Linked DNA regions of Saccharomyces cerevisiae S288C. The gene in region 1 interacts genetically with each later gene. Each region holds a gene or a part of one and is shown on either strand. Other genes may lie near its edges. The genes, in order: RPL20B, SPO1 and HAL9.

What was found.
Region 2: mutations in RPL20B (region 1) and SPO1 together harm fitness more than expected from each alone (negative genetic interaction), as found in Saccharomyces cerevisiae (one large-scale study listed by BioGRID).
Region 3: mutations in RPL20B (region 1) and HAL9 together harm fitness more than expected from each alone (negative genetic interaction), as found in Saccharomyces cerevisiae (one large-scale study listed by BioGRID).

The regions. Positions count from the first base shown.
Region 1 is NC_001147.6:899,750-903,764, reverse strand, and holds RPL20B (60S ribosomal protein eL20 RPL20B), read left to right. Parts: upstream 1-2,570; coding exon 2,571-2,571; intron 2,572-2,997; coding exon 2,998-3,515; downstream 3,516-4,015. Other genes in the region: YOR314W (uncharacterized protein), read right to left, coding at 393-722; SPS4 (Sps4p), read left to right, coding at 891-1,907; DGK1 (diacylglycerol kinase), read left to right, coding at 3,837-4,015.
Region 2 is NC_001146.8:607,372-611,787, forward strand, and holds SPO1 (putative carboxylic ester hydrolase), read left to right. Parts: upstream 1-2,314; coding exon 2,315-2,419; intron 2,420-2,503; coding exon 2,504-4,294; downstream 4,295-4,416. Other genes in the region: HEF3 (translation elongation factor EF-3), read left to right, coding at 1-2,082. UniProt on the Saccharomyces cerevisiae protein: Regulates spindle pole duplication in meiosis I, but not in mitosis. Required for meiosis I, meiosis II chromosome segregation and spore formation. Binds phosphatidylinositol (4)P mono- and polyphosphates.
Region 3 is NC_001147.6:151,075-155,490, forward strand, and holds the start of HAL9 (Hal9p), read right to left. Parts: upstream 2,417-4,416; coding exon 1-2,416. Other genes in the region: protein disulfide isomerase MPD2, read right to left, coding at 2,838-3,671; DUF1 (Duf1p), read right to left, coding at 4,213-4,416. UniProt on the Saccharomyces cerevisiae protein: Putative transcription factor involved in halotolerance.

The DNA.
Region 1 (4,015 bases):
GTTTATCCCCCAAGCTTGTTGCTATGCAACTATTTGTCCTTATAATATGTAGTATAGTAAAACTCTCGTAGTTACTTTCTTGGACATCACTGCTGTCCTGAGATAACATTATATGCTCTATTCCCATTGGTGGGACGATAACTGATTTTATTCATTCCAACCAAAAGATTGTACCGATATGCCATGACAACGAAATCTTGGAATACTTCGAAAAGAAAACACTTTTTTGTTGTCTTTCTGGGTGGGAACTAACGTTTCCATTATTTTTTTAACTGACATTGAAAAGGCAAAGCAACTGTCCTAGATTTTTTTGTTCTACTTAAAAGAGCCAAGGAGACCTAAAAAAGATAGTTATGAATATCCTCAGTATTGTTTACCCCTATACAAAAGTTCTAATCCAATAAATATGTAATGTTAAGTAAAAAGACGGAGAAGAAGCAGTAAAATAAGTCTCTTTCCTCTCCGAAGTAACGAAAAGAAAAGAGCAGAAAAGAAAAAACGCCGGTCTCGCTGCCTATGGTTCTATTTAAAATCATAGCATACAATAGACTTCGTAATGAAGATAACTGGACTTCTTTGCAACGGTGTTCGTCTATGCGGTCGTTAAGACACAAGGACTCAAGAGGGTTTAGTATCCTTTTTTTGTTGGTTCCTGCAGCAGCGTCAGACGCGTTGCTGATTATCGCCGATTGACGCGCGCCACAAAAACGTATCATTGTCATTAATTCATAAATTTTGGAACTATAAATTGCTAAGAAGTGTTCACTTTTTACCTCCTTCTACTACACTTTCGACAAAATTTCTTCCTTTGTTATTTTTGAGAGGCAAGCAACAAGAACATAAAAAATTGTTTTTGCTACATTGGTTTCACATAACATATTTCAACAAACATGCCATCAAATTTGAATATAGTGAAGGTTACAAAACCACAAGAAGAAAATAAGAATTTTTTACACAAAAACACGAATGAACCCAATGAAATGGAACAATCGCAGACACAAGAAGCAGTTACAGAAAATTTTACCGAAAACAGTAATCTCAGTGCAAATGAACATGCAGCTAGGAGGGGTAGATTAAATTTGAAAACAGTTGATCACATAGAAACTTATCCAATAGTGCAAGAAACAGAAGAGATTGCAAAGAAGATTGCTCTAACGAGAATTATTTTAGCACAAACAAAGCCTAGAATCGATAAAGTGGTAGTGTCACGTCCCGTTCAAGCCGTAGCACCAGTGGTCAATTTTTTTGACAAGATGGCCAATTCGACTTTAAGTACAGTAGAGCGCGTTGTCCCTTCTTTGAAAACAAAAACTTATAAAAGATTAGGTGAGGAAATTGCACTTCCGTATACTTTGTCGAAAAAGTATGGAAAGCAGCTCAGGGATACGACAGCAAGAAATGGAGACAACTATGTTTACCAACCTGTCCATGGAAGGTTGATGAAATTTAGGAAGTACTATAATGAAAAATTCATAGACACAAAGGGCAAGCCTTTGATAAGGGGGCAACTTGACCCTGTTTTGTTACCAGTCAATAATACATTCGAAAAGGTAACGGTAAAGTATTTGCCCAAAGGTAAGAAAGTTCCAAATGATTCCTTTTCTTGTGAGTTTAATAGGGGGCTAGCTTTAGAATACAATTTTATGACAAGAGCAGTTTCTGCAGTTAGTCATCAAGTTGTTGGTATTGCAAAGCTTCCCATTGCCTATGGATATCATACAAACTCTGTTTATAATAAAAACTTAGACAAACAGGCCGATTTAAAAATGAAAAATGTATTGAGAGGTACTTGGGATACCATAACTGATTTAGAACGCGAAATTTGGGCCTCTGTCACCGATAGAAGTTTGTTTAGATTTTTTGGCAACAAATCTGAGGGAGGAGATTTACCACATCTAGTACAATAAGTTCGCATAGAAAATAATTTTAATATAGGCGAGAATTTCAATTTGTACCTACTGGCGCAAATTCAATAGGTGTTATCTATTGAAAGCACTGAACTTAAATTTACCAATGTATACACGCTCAACATAAAAAAGAGGTAAAAGAAAATATATTTTTTTGTAAGGAAAGGCTTAATAAATATTTACAAGCTAGATAAAAAAAAAATCAAATAGCAAGCTATTCTGTCATATCTTAAGGTGCTGATTGTTTGTAGGCACGAAGTAAACAAGCTCTTCCCCAAAACAATAAATACGGTTTTCGGGACTGTTCACCCGTACATTTTACGTTTCCGACGGCGCGATGCTATCTTTGAATTTTTATCTCTTTCAGGTAACCCCATGACCAGTAGGGCGGCTTACTACCGAAGAGAAAAATGTCCGCGGCCTAGACAGTTACTTCCCAGGCCAGGGCCAGGCCACACGGACAGAGGCAGATTCCAAGTTGTTCCGCATAGTCTGTCTAGCTCTTTCTCAATTTTCCGCCAGATTCTGTCTAATTTCTTTCCGCTCGAGTTGGCAACAGTACGAAGAAGTAACTCTAATAGATAGATATAACCGTTTTTGAGGGCATTATTTTTGCAGAAGATAATAGAAGAGAACCGTAACAAAGGAATCAAGCAAAGAAAAAGTATGTAATAGAATGTATTGTATGCTTGTGGAATGAATGTCAATGTAGCTATTTTATATGGTGAGCTCAAATTGAATGAACATATCGTGGAAATTTAAAATACTGAAGAATACCCAATAAGTCAATGCAACCTGTGAATGTTTTTCCTGAAATACGCCGAATACTGAATACGATTATTACCATAAATTGCTTCTAGAAGGAAGGCGGTGTACCATTTAATACTGATGATATGGTTAATATCATTTGAGAAGTCTTCACATGAGGACTATAGAACTACCATCCAGGAATTATAGAGGAAATTAACTGAATCAGAGATCTATTTTGAAACATTCATTTACATGTAATTGTCTGCAATAAAGCAATATTTTTGAAATATGCAAGTTTACTAACAAGAATAAATTCTTTTTTGATTTTTATCTTTAACAGTGGCTCATTTCAAAGAATACCAAGTCATTGGTCGTCGTTTACCAACTGAATCCGTTCCAGAACCAAAGTTGTTCAGAATGAGAATTTTTGCTTCAAATGAAGTCATCGCCAAGTCTCGTTACTGGTATTTCTTGCAAAAATTGCACAAGGTTAAGAAGGCTTCTGGTGAAATTGTTTCCATCAACCAAATCAACGAAGCTCACCCAACCAAGGTCAAGAACTTCGGTGTTTGGGTTAGATACGATTCCAGATCTGGTACTCACAACATGTACAAGGAAATCAGAGACGTATCCAGAGTTGCTGCCGTCGAAACCTTATACCAAGACATGGCTGCTAGACACAGAGCTAGATTTAGATCTATTCACATCTTGAAGGTTGCTGAAATTGAAAAGACTGCTGATGTCAAGAGACAATACGTCAAGCAATTCTTGACCAAGGATTTAAAATTCCCATTACCTCACAGAGTCCAAAAATCTACCAAGACTTTCTCTTACAAGAGACCATCAACCTTCTACTAAGCCAACAAGATATTTCTACGTTTTTTAGTATAATAAAATTTTGTATAATTCATTTTGTAGATTCAAGGAAATTTTAAAATATATCCTGTTTCTTCTCTTACATTATGCACTACCAGCGTGAAAGCACAATGTCATGCCATGTATCTTTACAAAATCCAGGGTCCATAGCGGGTAACAAATTATTGGTTTTTCTGCGATAAATATAAAACGTAGCGTAATTATAAAAATCCTGAGCGGTGTTGTCGTAGAGCAGTTGAACATTACGTAAACAGATATCTACGCATTTCTGTCATTTGGATTCATACAGGGTTTACAGACAATATGGGGACCGAAGATGCCATTGCCCTTCCAAATAGCACGCTAGAGCCGCGTACCGAAGCTAAGCAAAGACTATCATCTAAGAGTCATCAAGTCTCGGCGAAAGTAACGATTCCAGCAAAAGAAGAAATTAGTAGTAGCGATGACGATGCACACGTTCCAGTGACAGAAATACATTTGAA
Region 2 (4,416 bases), on another chromosome or scaffold:
GAAAAAGTGGCCCCAAGGTTCACCATTGTGGTTGAGTACATAGCCGCGATTGCCGCAAATCTAATTGATGAAAGGATCATTGATCAGCAAACGTGGTTTACACATGTTACACCTTATATGACTATATTTTTACATGAGAAAACTGCAAAGGAAATACTAGACGATTTCAGGAAAAGGGCAGTAGATAATATTCCAGTTGGACCGAATTTCCAAGACGAAGAGGATGAGGGTGAAGATTTGTGTAATTGTGAATTTTCCTTGGCATATGGTGCCAAAATATTACTAAACAAGACTCAATTGAGGTTGAAGCGAGGTAGGAGATATGGTCTATGTGGTCCTAATGGTGCCGGAAAATCCACTCTAATGCGATCCATTGCTAATGGCCAAGTTGACGGGTTCCCCACTCAGGATGAATGTCGCACTGTTTATGTGGAACACGATATCGATAATACACATTCGGACATGTCCGTTTTAGATTTTGTATATTCCGGCAATGTAGGAACTAAGGATGTTATTACCTCGAAATTAAAGGAGTTTGGGTTCAGCGATGAAATGATAGAAATGCCAATTGCATCCCTATCTGGAGGTTGGAAAATGAAATTAGCTTTGGCGAGGGCTGTTCTGAAGGACGCTGACATTCTACTATTGGATGAACCAACAAATCATCTAGACACTGTTAATGTGGAGTGGCTGGTAAATTATTTGAATACTTGCGGAATTACATCGGTGATTGTCTCTCATGATTCTGGTTTTCTGGATAAGGTTTGTCAATACATCATACATTATGAGGGTCTTAAATTAAGAAAGTACAAGGGTAATTTATCAGAATTTGTTCAAAAATGTCCTACGGCACAATCATACTATGAATTAGGTGCCTCTGACCTTGAATTTCAATTCCCAACTCCTGGTTATCTAGAAGGTGTCAAAACGAAGCAAAAGGCAATTGTTAAAGTAAGTAATATGACTTTTCAATATCCAGGGACAACTAAACCACAAGTCTCAGATGTTACTTTCCAGTGTTCTCTATCCTCAAGGATTGCAGTTATCGGACCTAATGGGGCTGGTAAGTCCACTTTAATTAATGTTCTTACTGGTGAACTGTTACCAACCAGCGGTGAAGTATATACACACGAGAATTGTCGTATAGCGTATATTAAGCAGCACGCTTTTGCACACATTGAATCGCACTTAGACAAAACTCCATCCGAATACATTCAATGGAGGTTCCAAACTGGTGAGGATAGGGAAACAATGGATAGAGCAAATAGGCAAATAAATGAAAATGACGCAGAGGCCATGAATAAAATATTTAAAATTGAAGGGACCCCAAGAAGGGTTGCAGGAATCCATTCAAGAAGGAAATTTAAAAACACGTATGAGTACGAATGTTCGTTTTTGTTAGGTGAGAACATTGGTATGAAATCTGAAAGATGGGTTCCAATGATGTCTGTCGACAATGCTTGGCTACCAAGGGGCGAATTGATTGAATCCCATTCTAAAATGGTTGCTGAAATTGATATGAAGGAAGCTTTGGCTTCTGGTCAATTCAGGGCTTTAACAAGAAAAGAGATTGAATTACATTGCGCCATGTTGGGGTTGGATTCAGAATTAGTCTCACATTCAAGAATTAGAGGTTTATCGGGTGGGCAAAAGGTTAAATTGGTACTCGCTGCCTGCACGTGGCAAAGACCCCATTTGATTGTTTTAGATGAACCTACGAATTACTTGGACAGAGATTCATTGGGTGCTCTTTCAAAAGCATTAAAAGCTTTTGAAGGTGGTGTCATTATTATTACGCATTCGGCAGAATTTACTAAGAATCTGACTGACGAAGTTTGGGCGGTTAAGGATGGGAAAATGACACCCTCTGGCCATAATTGGGTTGCAGGACAAGGTGCTGGCCCAAGAATTGAGAAAAAAGAAGAAGAGGGTGATAAATTTGATGCTATGGGTAACAAGATTAATAGTGGGAAGAAAAAAAGCAAACTCTCTTCTGCAGAATTGAGAAAGAAAAAGAAGGAGAGAATGAAGAAGAAAAAAGAGATGGGTGATGAATACGTTTCTTCTGATGAAGATTTTTAATTTGAAGTCGAGTACATCTCTTTCAGTGAGTAACTTATATATTTTTGAAGTTAACATCCTTATTCTTTTTTTATATTTTTATTTTTTTTATGTTTATTTTCTATTACTGATTTTCACAAAGAAAGGTAAAAAAAAACATACTTCAGCGGCTATACAACCATATTTAAGTAAATGCACTCAGAGAAAGTATACAAGTAAAAAACCTAAGTAAAGACATAAATATCCCAAAATAATGCAAAAACTCCTCTTTGTCTTTTCTGTGTTATTGACAGTAGTACTAGCAACAGCACCATTTCAGGTACAATGTCCTAGCTCTCCACTTATTAGGGAGGCCAAAGTAAGTTAAACTCTTTGCCACTTTAACAAATATGGGCCAAAACTAACCGAATATACCAAAACTTCGTATTCCTTTGTTTATTAGCATGAACTCTGTCCAGAAGAAACCTTGTATCTGAAGAAAAAAAAAATTAAAACGAAGAATAAACTGATTCAGTTTTTAAAATCCTTGACAGAGGCAAAGTTTAGTTCGAAGTTTTATAAACGCGTGTTGAAAGATCCTCCAAAAATTGGGATTGCTATATCTGGCGGCGGGTACAGATCCATGTTAGTAGGTACCGGATTTATTTCCCAAATGAACGATTATGGCCTTTTTGAATATTCGGATTATATTGCTGGATTATCAGGCGGAAGTTGGATCTTGATGGATTTGGTAGTTCAAAATTTTGAAGTAAAATCCCTGCTACAAGAGTGGGACCTTGAAGAGGATCTTTTATTAGGCATACCGGAATTCGATATTTCCGAAGAAGAAATTGTTACCAATGCAAAAAAGGAGTATAATGATAATGATTTGAAGATGAAGAAGCGTCAGGGGGGTTCTCTGATTACAAGCTCTTCAAATTTTTATGAACAAATAGAGGAGATCATGAATTCCATAGAAGAAATCCCAGAAGACTATATGATAACGAAGAGAAACTTGAATCCATTAGCAAGACTAAAAAAAATATTCTTTCCTAACAACACTTTCACTGGAACTGATGCGAAGATTGAAACCTTTAAAAAAGTGCTAGACTTTTACAAAAGTTTGCATTTGAAAATTAAGCCTAAAAAAATGGAGGGTTTCCAAATATCGTTCACCGATTATTGGGGTAAAGCAATCGTTCAAAGACTAAAAAAAAATTTCGATGACGATCCCAACCATTCCTTTTCGTTTTCGAAGCTTGTAAACTCGTCTAAAAAATTTAAGGAATGCAGTGTGCCGATCCCAATATTCGTTGCAAATTGCAAAAATGGACTTCTTTCAAACGTTATATTTGAATTTACGCCCTTTGAATTTGGATCTTGGGAAAATATCCTCAGACTTTTCGTCAAGTTGCCCTATTTGGGCTCAAAAATTGTTTCTGGAAAGGCCGAGAAGTGTATTAATAACTTTGATGATCTAGGTTTTATTACTGCGACGTCTTCTTCAATATTCAACAATGTGCTCATCTTCATCTGGAATTTGGCTTCTCAGTCCTCCAGAGAAGCAATGAAAGCTTTGAATATGGTTATGGGAATTTTTGGCCTAGGTAAAGAGGAAATATTTAGTATTTCGAAAGACTCCTCGAGATTAGAGACAGACTATGCCGTATATCAACCCAATCCCTTTTATCTTTATCCTGAAAAAGACAATGTCCTAACTAACAAAAATCATTTATACCTTGTAGACGGCGGAGAAGACGGCGAGAATATTCCACTCAGAACATTGGTGATTCCTGAAAGGGAACTAGATGTAATTTTTGTTCTGGATTCTAGTTCGGATATTGACAACTATCCAAACGGCTCCAAGTTAAAAAGGATATTCGAAAAATTAGATGAAGAGAACGTTCATTACCAATTTCCGAACAATGTAAAAACATTCACTCACCCCATTGTTATAGGATGCAATGCTACCAAAAGAACTGGACATGATTCATTTTTGCCAATTATAATTTATCATGCCAATGCGAATCATGGAAACGCATCTAATACGTCGACATTCAAAATAACTTACAATCAGTCTGAAGTTAGCAGTATGTTACCCACTGGAAGGGGAGTGTTTAGCAATGATTATGACCTTTATTATAAAAATTGCTTAGGCTGTATATTAACCAAAAGAACAATGGACAGGCTCCCAAGAAAAAAGAAATTTTCGCCATTTTGCTTACAATGCTTTAAAGACTACTGTTACTCATAAGAGAGTAGACTTTTTCTGTGAAATTTAATGAGTTTTTGTTCACCTTTTTTACTTTTCTTCTATGCCATATGGTTAAATAAAACATGGTTCAAACGCGATTCTTTTTTATTATCTATGTCTTT
Region 3 (4,416 bases), 750 kb from region 1:
CCACTAATCGATCATAAGATTTTTTTAGGATATCGATGATCTCTTTTACCTCACCTTTCTTTTTTAGATCGTTCATATTATCCACAACGTAAAAGAAGAGAACAAACATAGCAGTAGAGAACTGATACATAACCTCGTTATACATATGCGCCTGGTAATTGATGCCTTGAAACAGCTGTAACATTTCTTTACTGGCGTTTAAGTATTGACTTGAAAAAAGAATGAATAGCTGAGGAATATCATGGCGAGAACCTTTGTATAGGCGTTCGTTATCAATCAATAAGGATGTAGTCATCATGCTCAAAATCACTTTAGAATATAGCGCCCTAAAATGACAATTCAAAACACGAGAGCATGCAATCTCAAAACTTAAAGCCGGATTTTCTTGGGATTTTTGAGCGTAAAGTACCGATAAATACTGTTTATAACTTTTTAGTTTCATACTTACGTGCAAGTTGTCTCTCCAATTGTTCAAAGAATCATTGAGATCTTTGATTTTATCAAGCATGGCATCGAATGAAAGATCTAGAGTACTTCTGACAGCAAAACAAGTAGAGTATATTTTACTCTCAATACTAACCAATTTTGAAACATAATATGATATGAAAAGGGATATGTGCTGACAAAAATTTACAACTACATTCAATGCAGAGTTGACATCAGTAATTTTATCGAGATCTTCCTTTTTATCAATAAGATCAGGTAGAATATTAGTTTTTATCACTTCATAATAATTTTGATCTGTTAGCATATCCATATCGCGTTCCCCCACAATAGGGGGTCTGGATAACATTAAAGAATATAGTTTATCTGTACAAAAACAATGCCACCACATTCTTCTTCTCCTTATGGCTTCTTCAAAGTCTAGTGACTTGTAAGAGGATTTTCTATTTAATTCCATGTCAACCGCCAATCTAATCGCGGTTCCTAAAATACAATTTGCTAGTTCAGTATCGTAGGTAAGTTGAAAATATCGGTTCAGTAGTAATAAAGCTTGTAGTGTTCTTGTACCTGAACAGATGGTGGACAGCTTATGATAATAATACATGGCATTTAGTAAGGCAACGTTTTCGATTTTTTTTAACTCTTGGGAGGTTGGATCATATCTATCTTTCCTTAGAAACTTTGAATCACCTCTTATAATTGATTGAGTGGCAGATGCACCCGAGCAGAGACACACGTTTAATAATAAATGTTCAGGATATGTGAGTTTTTCGCCGCTTTCGCTGTAGTACTTTTCTGCTAAGTCTAGACATTCTTTTAACGATATTATACCAGTTACAGAGGATAATAAGGTAGCATGAAAATTCTCAAGAAGTCTCTTTGCTTGCTTTTTCGGAGGTAATGAGTATAATATTATTTCGCTGGAGAAGAAAGCCGGAGATGACAAATCCATAAATTTTTTCATTTGAGTTGCATACCATTTTAAAGATATGCTTAATATTTCGCTGATTGGAGAAAGAAACTCCTCATTGGACGCTTTCACTCCTAAACTTTGTTTGAACCAATAGAGTTTTTGAGCAGTTAAAAGTGCCGTAGAGTATATTTTTCTCGCTGGTTTGGGCAAATTGTTCTTTTCCTTGTATTTGCCTTCCTGCTTTTTAACAGCCTTGTCCAATAACCACTCAAGTCTAGCCACACTGTCAATAATGTAAGACATTTTTCTATCCAATTTTTCAATCTTTGAATTCATTTTTTTGTTAAGATTATTTTGAATATTGGAGACTTTATCGATGATATTGCTTTCTAAGGGGGAATTACCGTTTAAAAGTTCAAACCTTCCACTGTTCGGTACTGAAGAAGACGCTACAGGATTGCTAATACTATTTGAGGTTTGAAGTGATTCCCCTGGTGTTGCATGATGTTTGATTTCTAATTTTCTTTTCTTCTTAAGAATCTCATCACGATGTTTGAAAGTGCAAGGCAACTGAAACTTAATACAGTTTGAACATTTTTTGGTCTGCTGGTCCACTTCATCACATCTGATTTTTCTTTTTCGGCAATGGTCACAGGCCTTTGATACACGTTTCTTGAGATTTTTACCAGAGCCGCTCATATCATTACTGTTAGTGTGTTCCATCATCGTGCTGATGTCACGGTTCTGTTGTGTCTGAAATTGCGACTGATGCTCTGTTGGCGAGTATATTGTATTGGGATAAGCCACATTCATGGGGATATTTGGACCTATTGTACTACCTGTCATAAGGGTGTTTTCTCTGTTAGGCATCGTCATCAGTTGATCTGGCACAGGCATCGACCATATTTGAGTTTCAGGAACCAGACGTGGGGTACCAGTTTGATGGTTTACATTTGAAATGTCACTTCTACCGGTGATTTCATTGTTAAAAACCGCATTCATATTGCTTGCTGAGTTTGAAAACCCATTTGGGCTGTAATCTCCACCTTGATTTTCCATTATTTCAAACCGAAGATTTGGAGTGGAGAGTGCTGATTTCCTAAGTTGAATTAAAGTACGATAATAAGCTCCCTAAGACATTTATTCTTTTTTCGAATTAAAGGCTTTTTATATAAAGCCATCTTTCATGTACGTAATTGGAGATTATACCAAAACCAAACAGGGTAAGAGATGTTTCTCTAATGAATAAAATAACAGTGTTACCTTAGCACAAGCCAATATTCAAAACACATGTGGTAGACCTTCTGTAATATTTATGTATATCTCCATAATCTTTCACCTACACAATCTCACTTATATTGCGGCTAACGTACATTGTTAAATATATATGTATCTGTGTATTTGTTGTACCTCAGGGTGAGGGTCCCGCTTCCGTCTGTAGTCGGTATTCGTAAAGTAAAAGACAGAGCGAAGCTTATGTTCAAAGCTCGTCATGACTACTGGTATCTTCTAACTGGTCTTCTATGTGTGATAATAGGCTCAATTGTAGACGAATGATTTTCAGTTTTTCTTTAACTTCTTTACTCAAGTCATCTCCATTTTGCTTAATTAAAGCTTCTAGTCTTCGCCTTTCCTTTTCCAGCCCATTCACGTCACCGTATAATTTAGATAAAGTATCAGAGTAGTATTCTTTACCAGCTTTACACAGAAGCTGTTGAGAACGTAATTCTTCATTGCAATTCCTAGAATCATCGAAAATATGTTCTATGAATCTTTCTTCTGTATCTTTACTTCTTACAGTATCGATAAAGTTGCTTAAACTCTTTAGGTTCCTACTCCCTTCAAAACGAACAACCCTAGACGTATCCAGTTGGTACTTAGGATTGTTGAACCACGTCTTGATTCTTTGCCATAGTCTTTCATGAAATTTCATAGACGACCAATCGAGCTTCGGAAGAACTAAGGGCTTAGTACGAGGTTTGACCAGTTCAATTATTGGAAATCCAGGCAAGTCGGTACATAAAGTTGGCCCGAAGAATTCACAGTTAACTTCAAGGAAGTTAATTGGGGTATCATCTTTATTAGCTTTTTTGGCGTATAGCTCACCAAGCTCTTCGTATACTGGGGCCAGAGTTTTACAATGTTGGCACCAAGAAGTGTAGTATTTTATCATTGTGTAAGAATCATTCCTATTGCAGATATCGAAGTACTGCTCAATCGACTTGACCATCGTGACAGCTTCACTGTAGGCCAACGCTGGTAAAATGACGACGCATGTTGATAATACGGAAAATAAAAAGCCGTGCAATTTCATCTCCTTTGTGTTTTACTTTGCCGACGTACTTGCACTAGACTCGCTGTGTTTTTTTTCTGTTGTTTTGTTGTTATGCTGTTCTTTAGCTCAAAAAATTGGCCACTGTTCCCCGCTCTGTAAATTAATTGCTCTTAAAGAAACAAAAATGATTAAAAAAAATTAGAAATATTTGAGATAATAAGAACATCATTCAGGTCGCCCATATTCACAATTATTTACAGACTGTATTTTAATGAAGAATGTGTGCATAACTTGATGGTACCTATTCAATATAAAATTTGATAAATAAATAATATTATAAAAATGTCTATGTAATTATTATAAAGCTCTAGAGTATGTATGAGTTGTTACACATAGCATTCCAATGAGTACTTGCTTTTTTCTTCGTTCTTTAGACATTTCAGAAGAATATTCTTTATCTTGTCATTGTTACTGCAACTACTATTATAGTATTATTAGTATTATTGTTGGTATTGTTACTATATATTTACGCTTAAAAACTCCAAATTCAGACCCCAAAATATAATTTAAATAAACATTATCATTTCCCCTCATTCCCGTTGACCTCATGAACTAGCGGTGAATTATGTACTTTTCTTCTGTATTCTAGAACTATGTCACCCTGAGATTTCCAGTAAAGTGTTCTAACGGTATTTAAAGTCATATCGTTATCAAGCACTTGGCCCCTACATAGTAGATCCAACCAAAGACTAGGTTCCATTTTTGCTTTCATTTCAGGAGTTTT